Linked DNA regions of Schizosaccharomyces pombe. The protein of the gene in region 2 purifies or fractionates together with the protein of the main gene of each other region. This does not show direct contact. Each region holds a gene or a part of one and is shown on either strand. Other genes may lie near its edges.

What was found. The genes of interacting proteins can lie anywhere in the genome.
Region 1: the proteins of sfh1 (region 2) and ssr1 purify together in Schizosaccharomyces pombe (affinity purification with mass spectrometry, with the first as the bait; one study listed by BioGRID). This does not show direct contact.

Annotation. Positions count from the first base shown.
Region 1 is NC_003424.3:3,603,919-3,607,990, reverse strand, and holds ssr1 (SWI/SNF and RSC complex subunit Ssr1), read right to left. Parts: upstream 2,210-4,072; 5' UTR 2,194-2,209; coding exon 610-2,193; 3' UTR 537-609; downstream 1-536. Other genes in the region: ghs2 (glucosidase), read left to right, coding at 1-162; translocation subcomplex subunit Sec62, read right to left, coding at 3,078-3,899.
Region 2 is NC_003421.2:892,209-896,230, forward strand, and holds sfh1 (RSC complex subunit Sfh1), read left to right. Parts: upstream 1-1,944; 5' UTR 1,945-1,962; coding exon 1,963-3,219; 3' UTR 3,220-3,471; downstream 3,472-4,022. Other genes in the region: ubiquitin hydrolase Ubp1, read right to left, coding at 1-3; U1 snRNP-associated protein Luc7, read left to right, coding at 512-1,306; SPOM_SPCC16A11.15C (uncharacterized protein), read right to left, coding at 3,974-4,022.

The sequences.
Region 1 (4,072 bases), on a different chromosome or scaffold from region 2:
GACTCTTCTGATTCCAGTAGCGTGCTTGGTTGTGATCCTGAAGGTTTCCCTACTACTGAATATATTGCGAACCATCCTAAAGCCTACCTAAATTATAATGCAACCAGTTGGTCAGAAGCAGGATATGTTCGCCCCAAAAACTCACTCATGGACGGATGTTGAAAAACTTCATTTTAATGTAAGGATTGCGAAATCCATATTAAGCGGCATTTTGTCTTCATTCTTTATTTCTTTTCATTTACTTTCATAGAGTTTCACATAAACCATTAGTTAGTCCCTTCTTTCTTTTCTCTCAGTTCTTTCATTTGTTGCATAATTTAACATACGACACAAAGGATTTACACAACGTTTGAGCTGACCTTACTTTCAAAATTTGATAACAACTGGTATATACTAGTACGTTAAAATTGTTGCCCTTAGAATGCTATAGCTCTCTAGTCAATCTATCAATCAGCCGAATGTTAAGAGATCAAGCTGAATAGCCCGAACTTGGGCCGCAAAAGTTGAGTAAACTAGATATGTCAAAGACATTAAGATAAGATAAAAAAAAAATTCATTTAAATAAAAGCCTAATAAATTTTTATCCGATAAGCATATTAGTTGAGATTATTAAGAAGGACTCATAGAAGAAGCTGGGATAACAGAAGTTTCAGCGGAGCTTTGAACTGGTAGACCATTTGCGGCAGTATCCTTCGATTGTAGTTGTTGCTCTATTTTTTTGCGGGCATTTTGACACTCTCGTTTCATATACAATTTTTCCCTATAAGTTGCCTGTGCAAAGGCATCTAATTCTTGGGATTTAAGACGAATGTGCTGATCAAGATAATCAAAATGAGATAACTTGGATTCAATTAGCTTAATTTGCACGTTAACAGAATCCTTTATAATAGAAGCCATTTTCTTTTCTTCATTAGTTAGATATAACTCTGATAGACTATCAGAGTCCTCCAATGATTTACCATTCATCTCGACATCATAACTTTCTGACTCTGGTTTGGGATAAACCGATTCACCTTTAACTTTATCCGACTCCTCCTCTTTTGCGCTGCTTTTCTGTGTGAAAGAAGAAGGTGGTACCATTTTGGCTAAGAAAGAGACTACGGATAAAATAGGGTTCTTCCCCTGCAAAGAATCAACCACAGGATTGGTATGCACTTTGTCCATTTTAAATAAAGCTTTGTCGGAAGAAGGAAGATTAAGGAATTTCAAAATACACTCTTCAACACTTTTTGTGTTCACATGAGAAGCAACCTTTGCCCAGTCGTCACTATACATTTCCACTCCCTCTGACAAAAGAACAAGTTCTTGTGCAGTCCATGTATCATCATCTTCAATTTTATTTTGTATTGCGACCTCCTTATAATCAGCAATTGTGGTCGGTGAAGGAAACCGATTTTGTTGGTAGCAACTTATACAAACGTTATATTTTTGGGCCGTTTGAGATTGGTAGTAACTTTCATTAAATTTATTACCGCAACAGTAACAATGCTGTGGAGAATCTGACTGATCAATGTTGTTTTCATGAAGGTTCGAAAGGCTTGGTTTTTGATTCGGAGTTGAACCCTTACCTTTTAAGACATCGTCGAGAGAGGGATCATAAATATTTGTTCGGACAATCGAAGGATCTTCAATGGTAACAGCTTTGGAACGAGGAATTGAAGAAGAGGGAGGTGGAAGAAGTGGTACCAATCCACGAGGAGTATCAGCAAGGATTTGGAAATGACTTGTGGAAGGGGGACCTATTTTCGAAGGCCGAGTATCGGGGTTAACGTTATAGTTGATTAATCCCCATTGCTCTAGAAATCTATGGACACGCAAGACAGCACATACATCACCAGCCAAATTCCTTCGGCAAGCCGTGAAAGTCAAATAAACTTTGGAGTTCAATCGAAAAGTACTAATCATAAAATCTCGGTATTCCTTATATACCTCTGGTGTTTTCGACGTATTTTTTCCATCAAAGAACTCAGGGTTTTGTTTTTTCTCAATTTCGTGAACTTTAGAGAAATCAAACCATTGCGCCCACTCAGGGACTTCTACTTGTGGTAACTGGCTCAACAAAAATTCTTTGGCCTCGTCTCTGACTTCTGGTTCAGTGTCCTCCTTTTTAGAAACATCCAATTCCATTGGCTGAGCAGAATCTGGTACCCCGTTTTCGTGTAAGTCATGTTTATTTTCAGTAACGTTGGACATTGTGGTGTTAGAGTCTAGTATAATATTTACAAAATCCTCAACGCCAAGGGCTTTAAAAGCTTCACGTCAATAAAATGCACTTAATCAACGAAAAATAATATGTATTACCCTATATGATTGAGGGATACCTTGAAAATTCAAGTTTTTTTAAAATGCCCTGCAATTAGTAGGTAGTGGGAGTTGACTTAGAATGACGATGTCTGGTTAACGAAATATACAGCAAACGCACTATACACTAAAGAATTGAGAAAATATTCAATATGGAAAGTAAAATTTATTGATATGAAGTTAAATATCATATGATATGATGACAATTTATACCATGAATATTAGTGAACTTGTAATTATAATCACTCCTATGTGATCAGCCAACTATAGTAAGAATGCACTCCTTGTGTCATGAGGAAATGCTATACTAGCTTTAAAAGGAGAAAAGCAAGCTAAGAATCTAGTAATTTCGCTCAAATGTGTTATAAATTGAGATTAAAAGAATAAGGGAATTATCAAACCACCTACCAGGAGTGGTACATAAATTAAAACGCTTCATATAAATGGGTTAAGCAAGAATTGTGTGTCAATAAGAGTAAATATTCATTGACTGACAAACTTGCCGTAATTAAAATGCGTAACAATAAGAAACACAAAAGAATTTAGTGTCCTCATTTAGTATATACTGATTATATATGTATACGTTTGGGCATAAAATGAGAACGCCAAGGTTTCTTGGAAAACACATTTAGAATCTCAAAGAACCTTTCTCCGAAAACATAGACGAAATAAATTGTATAAGGAGAATTGATAACGTAAAGATATGCACTATTTTTTTTTAAAGTAAGTAATAGTGGCTGAGTGACTGGATTCATCAACGGTACAACAATTAATTTTTATTCAGAGACTTCTTCGACGGTAGGATTTCTGTGCCTTAAATTCTTTAAAGAAGTGGTGGACGTAGAAGACTTTTCAGGAGTTGCAGAAGCAGCTGGTGAAGTGGCTTTTTTTGACAATTTCTTGGATTTCCTTGTCTTCTTTACCTCAGATTTGGAATTGTGCCAACTCCATAAAGGTTTAAAGCTATCACAGAAGCCAACGTCGGCAAGAAGATTGGGGAATAGCCAAATGCCAGGGCGCACGATGACAGCAGTAATGCAAAATAAGAAAAAACGTAAAATAACCAAAACAAAGAATAGACCGATTACTCCAAGGCCTCCCATACTTAAATACCAAGCACCCTTGCGCATAAACATTGGCCACAAGGGGAACAAAACGAGTGCCAATACGACAAGAGCGAACAGTACTGCCAAAGCCATAACGCGTTTTGGAAGAGGCTCGTAGAGCCAAACATAATGCATATCGTCTTGAAAATCTTGATTACGATTTATCTGTAATTCTACAAGCTTCTGCTTTCTTTGTTTAGGGGGGAGTTTATCAACGCGAACCAGCATCGAATTCATAATGAGCAATTTGAGAACTTCGATTGCTTCCTCACGGCTTGAAATTTCTGGAAACCCTTTGTATTTCTTAGGCGTATACGCTTCGGATGTTAAAAAGCGAAGAACACGCTTCACACGAAAGTAGTATACACGTTTTCCATTGAGGATCGCTGGCTTTGTTTTCAGCTCAGGGCGAGACTTGAGGAAGTTTGTAAAGCGCATCGAAAACTTGCACTTGTCTTCATCCTTCAAAACTGGTACATTAGAAGAATCCATAGGCAAAATCCTTGTTTGGAAAAATCTAAAATAATGTGGTTCTGGAGTAGATGAAGTCTGTACACGTCTTTAAGGTAACGATATTTAGGTCACGAGGTAAAGCCAAAATCAAAATTCAGTATTATAGATTTGGGAAAATCTATATTATAAATTTTACATTTAGTTTAATCATT
Region 2 (4,022 bases):
CATTCTCAAAACATGGTCATTTATTCGTTATATTTTTGTTTCTTCAAGTTCCACTCTTATAAATTGCAAAAAATTGGGGGAATGGAGTTGTTGGTTTAAGTAAACTTGTTGTACCAAATGGTGAAAAAGGATTTATACAGGTGACGCATATTGCTGCCCTCTGTCAAGTTTGAGTTTTCAACAACAATTTGTAAAAGTTGATCTAATCGAAAGAATAAAGTATCAATATATTGCCTCGTCTATATTTAACGATTTAGAAATAGCAACTTTTGAACTTTTCCGGGAAATTTTTTTTTGAATTTTAACCCAACAAGCTACTCAAATTACATCTCAATCAAATTTGAGCGATTGTAAACTTTAATTTTGATTTAATTGTGAATAAAGGAAAAAATTCTTTATACTACTTGTAAAACCTAGTGAAATTTTCTATTCATTTTACAGCGTTTGTCGAAAACCCACAAATAGGACATCAGCAGAGATAAAATTACATTTTGCCGAAAATACACTTATTATGGCCGCTGAACAGAGGAAAATCATAGAACAGTTGATGGGCAGTAATTTGAGTAACTTTACCTCTCGAGGCCTAGTACATTTCACTGATCGCAAAGTTTGCAGAAGCTTTTTATGTGGTATTTGTCCTCATGATATATTTACAAATACTAAAATGGATTTGGGGCCTTGTCCAAAGATCCACAGTGACAAGTTGAAGTCGGATTATGAACGGGCTAGTTATTCACATGACTATGGCTACGAGTGGGATTATCTGGAAGACCTAGAAAGACATGTTGATGACTGTAATAAGCGTATTGATATTGCTGAAGCTCGTAGAGAAAAAACAAAAGAGGAGGAAGAACGGATAGATGAGCTAATGCGAGATATAATACATACCGACCATTCAATTGAAGTTATTATTACAGAAATGGAGGCGCTTGCAAAAAGAAAATTAGTGAATGATGCAGTTAAACATTTTATTGAGCTTAATAGGTTGAAGACATACAGGAAAGAATTATATGATGAAGTGATTTCCATGAATGAAATTCCCAGTCAGGCTAGCACAACGCATCAAAAGCTACAAGTATGTGATATTTGTAGCGCTTATCTTTCAAGATTAGACAACGATCGTCGTTTAGCTGATCACTTCTCAGGAAAAATGCATCTTGGATATGCCATGCTGCGAAATATTGCTAGGGATCTTCGAGCTCAATTAGAGGACCGTGAAAAATCCCGTGATAAAAAGGACGGAGAGAAACAAAGAGATAATTTAGCTTCTTTTGAAGATAAAATCTCAACTTCCTTTGTTGCATAACCTACATTTCGTAATGAAAAAGTGGAGGATCTCAACTAACCGCCTTTATTCGCTTAGTGATGCCTTTTACGCAGACCTATATAGAATCTTATTATTATGTTTACCTTTTTACGTTTATGGTTGTTTCCTTACTTGCTTTTTTACAATATTCTTCATGTCATGCACAAAATAAGTGTACCTCTTATATTTTATATTCGTTTATTTCTAATCTCACAAGGTATATTGATATATGTATTTCAATTTGAATAACAGCTATAAGTATATCCTTAAAATAAAGCAGGAATAAACTCTTTGCCTTAATATTGTCGTACTAACCCAACCATCCTTACTTGTCCTTCAGCAACTGTTTGTTTTGGAGAATCTGAAATCGAAAGGAGTCAAACTATTTTACTAAATTAACTTTTTATTTTATTTTGTATAGATATCCTTGAAAATTCTGTGATTCGAAAGTCCAGTGGCAATGTAGAAGTATTAAACGTTTATCAACGGTTCTACCAAATCAGGGCCGATAAAAGAACTCTCGATTATAATTTACGTTTAATACAATCATATAGAATAAATAAAAACATAACATAGTACTTCCAACTGTAAATTGACTTGCGGCTTACATAGTGTTTTTTGGCATACTTGTGCAAACTACCGACTTCACAATTTACATGGCTCAAGCTTGTAAAACCACATACTCATCTCGTTTGAAAACGGGAAATACATGCTTAATCCAAAAAAATGTTGCAGTATCGACTAGGTCGCATTCTTCGTATACAGGCAGAAATTCGTTGAGAAATGTTCCAGCGGTTAATTACGCCGCATTCGAACAAGGTGAGGATTTTGAAACGCCAGTAGAAACTCCAGAAAAAGAAGAGGAAAAGTTCGAAACGGATGATCGGGGGCTGGCAGTTGGCAGACCAACCGGAAACAACATCTATCCAAGATTCGCGACTAAAACAAGACATATTTACGTTACAGACGAACAGCTTAAATGCGCTGCAGAAGAACGAGATGTATACATACCAATACGGCTGGATATTGAACTGCCCAACAATTATCGACTCAAGGACACGTTTTTATGGAACATGAACGAGCAAGTAATGACACCGGATGTGTTTGCTCAAATCTTGTGTGCCGATTTAGATTTATCTACGAATGTATATGGAACGCAAATTAGTTCCAGTATTCGTGCACAAATCGAAGAGTATGCACCGGTGGCTGAGGTGCCTATGCCAAAGGGGCAGGAAATGCTCGTTGTATTCAATATCCAAGTTCAACTTGCTCAGTTAAGCTACAATGATCAGGTGGAATGGAATTTAACGAGTCCTCTTACACCTGAGGAATTTAGTGTATTAACCTGCAACGATTTGGGGCTTTCTGGGGAATCTCGACCAGAAATTGCCTATGCAATCCATGAATGTCTTTTAAAGTTGAAAAAGAATGCATGTGAGGGTGATTTGCCAGATTACGACAGTGATGCAGTTCCTGGAACGAAGGCTGGACCTCGTCAGGACATGGATACTTTGGGTGCATTATGGCAACCAGTGCTGGAAACAGTTTCCCTTGAAGATGCCAAAAAGAATGAGAACAATCGAGAGAATTTGGTGAAACAATGGCGTCGTGAAGCTTCTAAGTTTGGAGGATTTGCGGCGGATGTTTCGGCAGAACGATGGCGAGCGGCAGCTCTGGGCAATCTTAGTCAAAGCGAGACAGCCAACTTGCCCAGTGCTTCAGTGTCGGATGCACAAACACTGTTGGAACAGGAACGACCCCGATGGAGATGTCGTTGGTGCAACGTGCTGGGCACAGGAACATTTTGTGTTCGAAGAGGACCCGAAGGAAACAAATCATTGTGCAATGCTTGTGGTGTTGCATATGCTAAAACAGGACAATTGCCATATTGGAGAAAATCTCTATACACTTAAAAGATGTTTTACTCTAATGGACTGATGTATTTGATGTTCATTAGTCGTGTTTTAAGGAGACGAATTTAATGGAGAAGGTCTGACTTTATGGTTCCTCTCAAGATTGTCAATATGATTAAGTCCACCTGTACAAAAGAATGGGTATAATACACAAGACATTTAGGCAATTGAGTTACATTAGGACCGCAAGAAAGCGTCAAATAGATAATTAAAATGATAATGAATTTTGGGTTTTCGACAGAAAACAAAAAAGCGAGCAAGAACGGATTTAAATGTTATAAAGTAATGGAAGAAAAATTGTAGTGACAAAGGTAGAATTATGCTCATGTGATGATGGGCCAACCTCTGACGATTATTAGTGACCAGAATTAATTTACTTAGCATGGGTTTACTAGTTGGTCAATTTTCTTGCATGAAATACAACGCAGAAATTGTAAATACTTTAAATAGACTTCATTTACCCTAGCTATAGATTATATAATAAGTCATAAAAGAAACGTCTCTTGGTCCAATCTGTAAAATACAGCTTTTGAAAGGCCAAGTACGACAGAGCATACCATGTCGTAGCATTTCATCGTTACATAGATTCATAAAAAAAAAACAAGAGAAAAAACAATAAGGAATCATAATAATACGTAAAAGCAACGTTTATTACTGCGAAGGAGCAGAGCAGTCATCACACCCAATGCCAAGTCCATAATGGGTACAGGCCAAAGCGCTTCGCAAGTAGAAAATAGATGGCTCGCTCGCTAACTTACATTTCGTCGACAGATGGAGGAGAGGTCTTATCGTTGATCGTTACT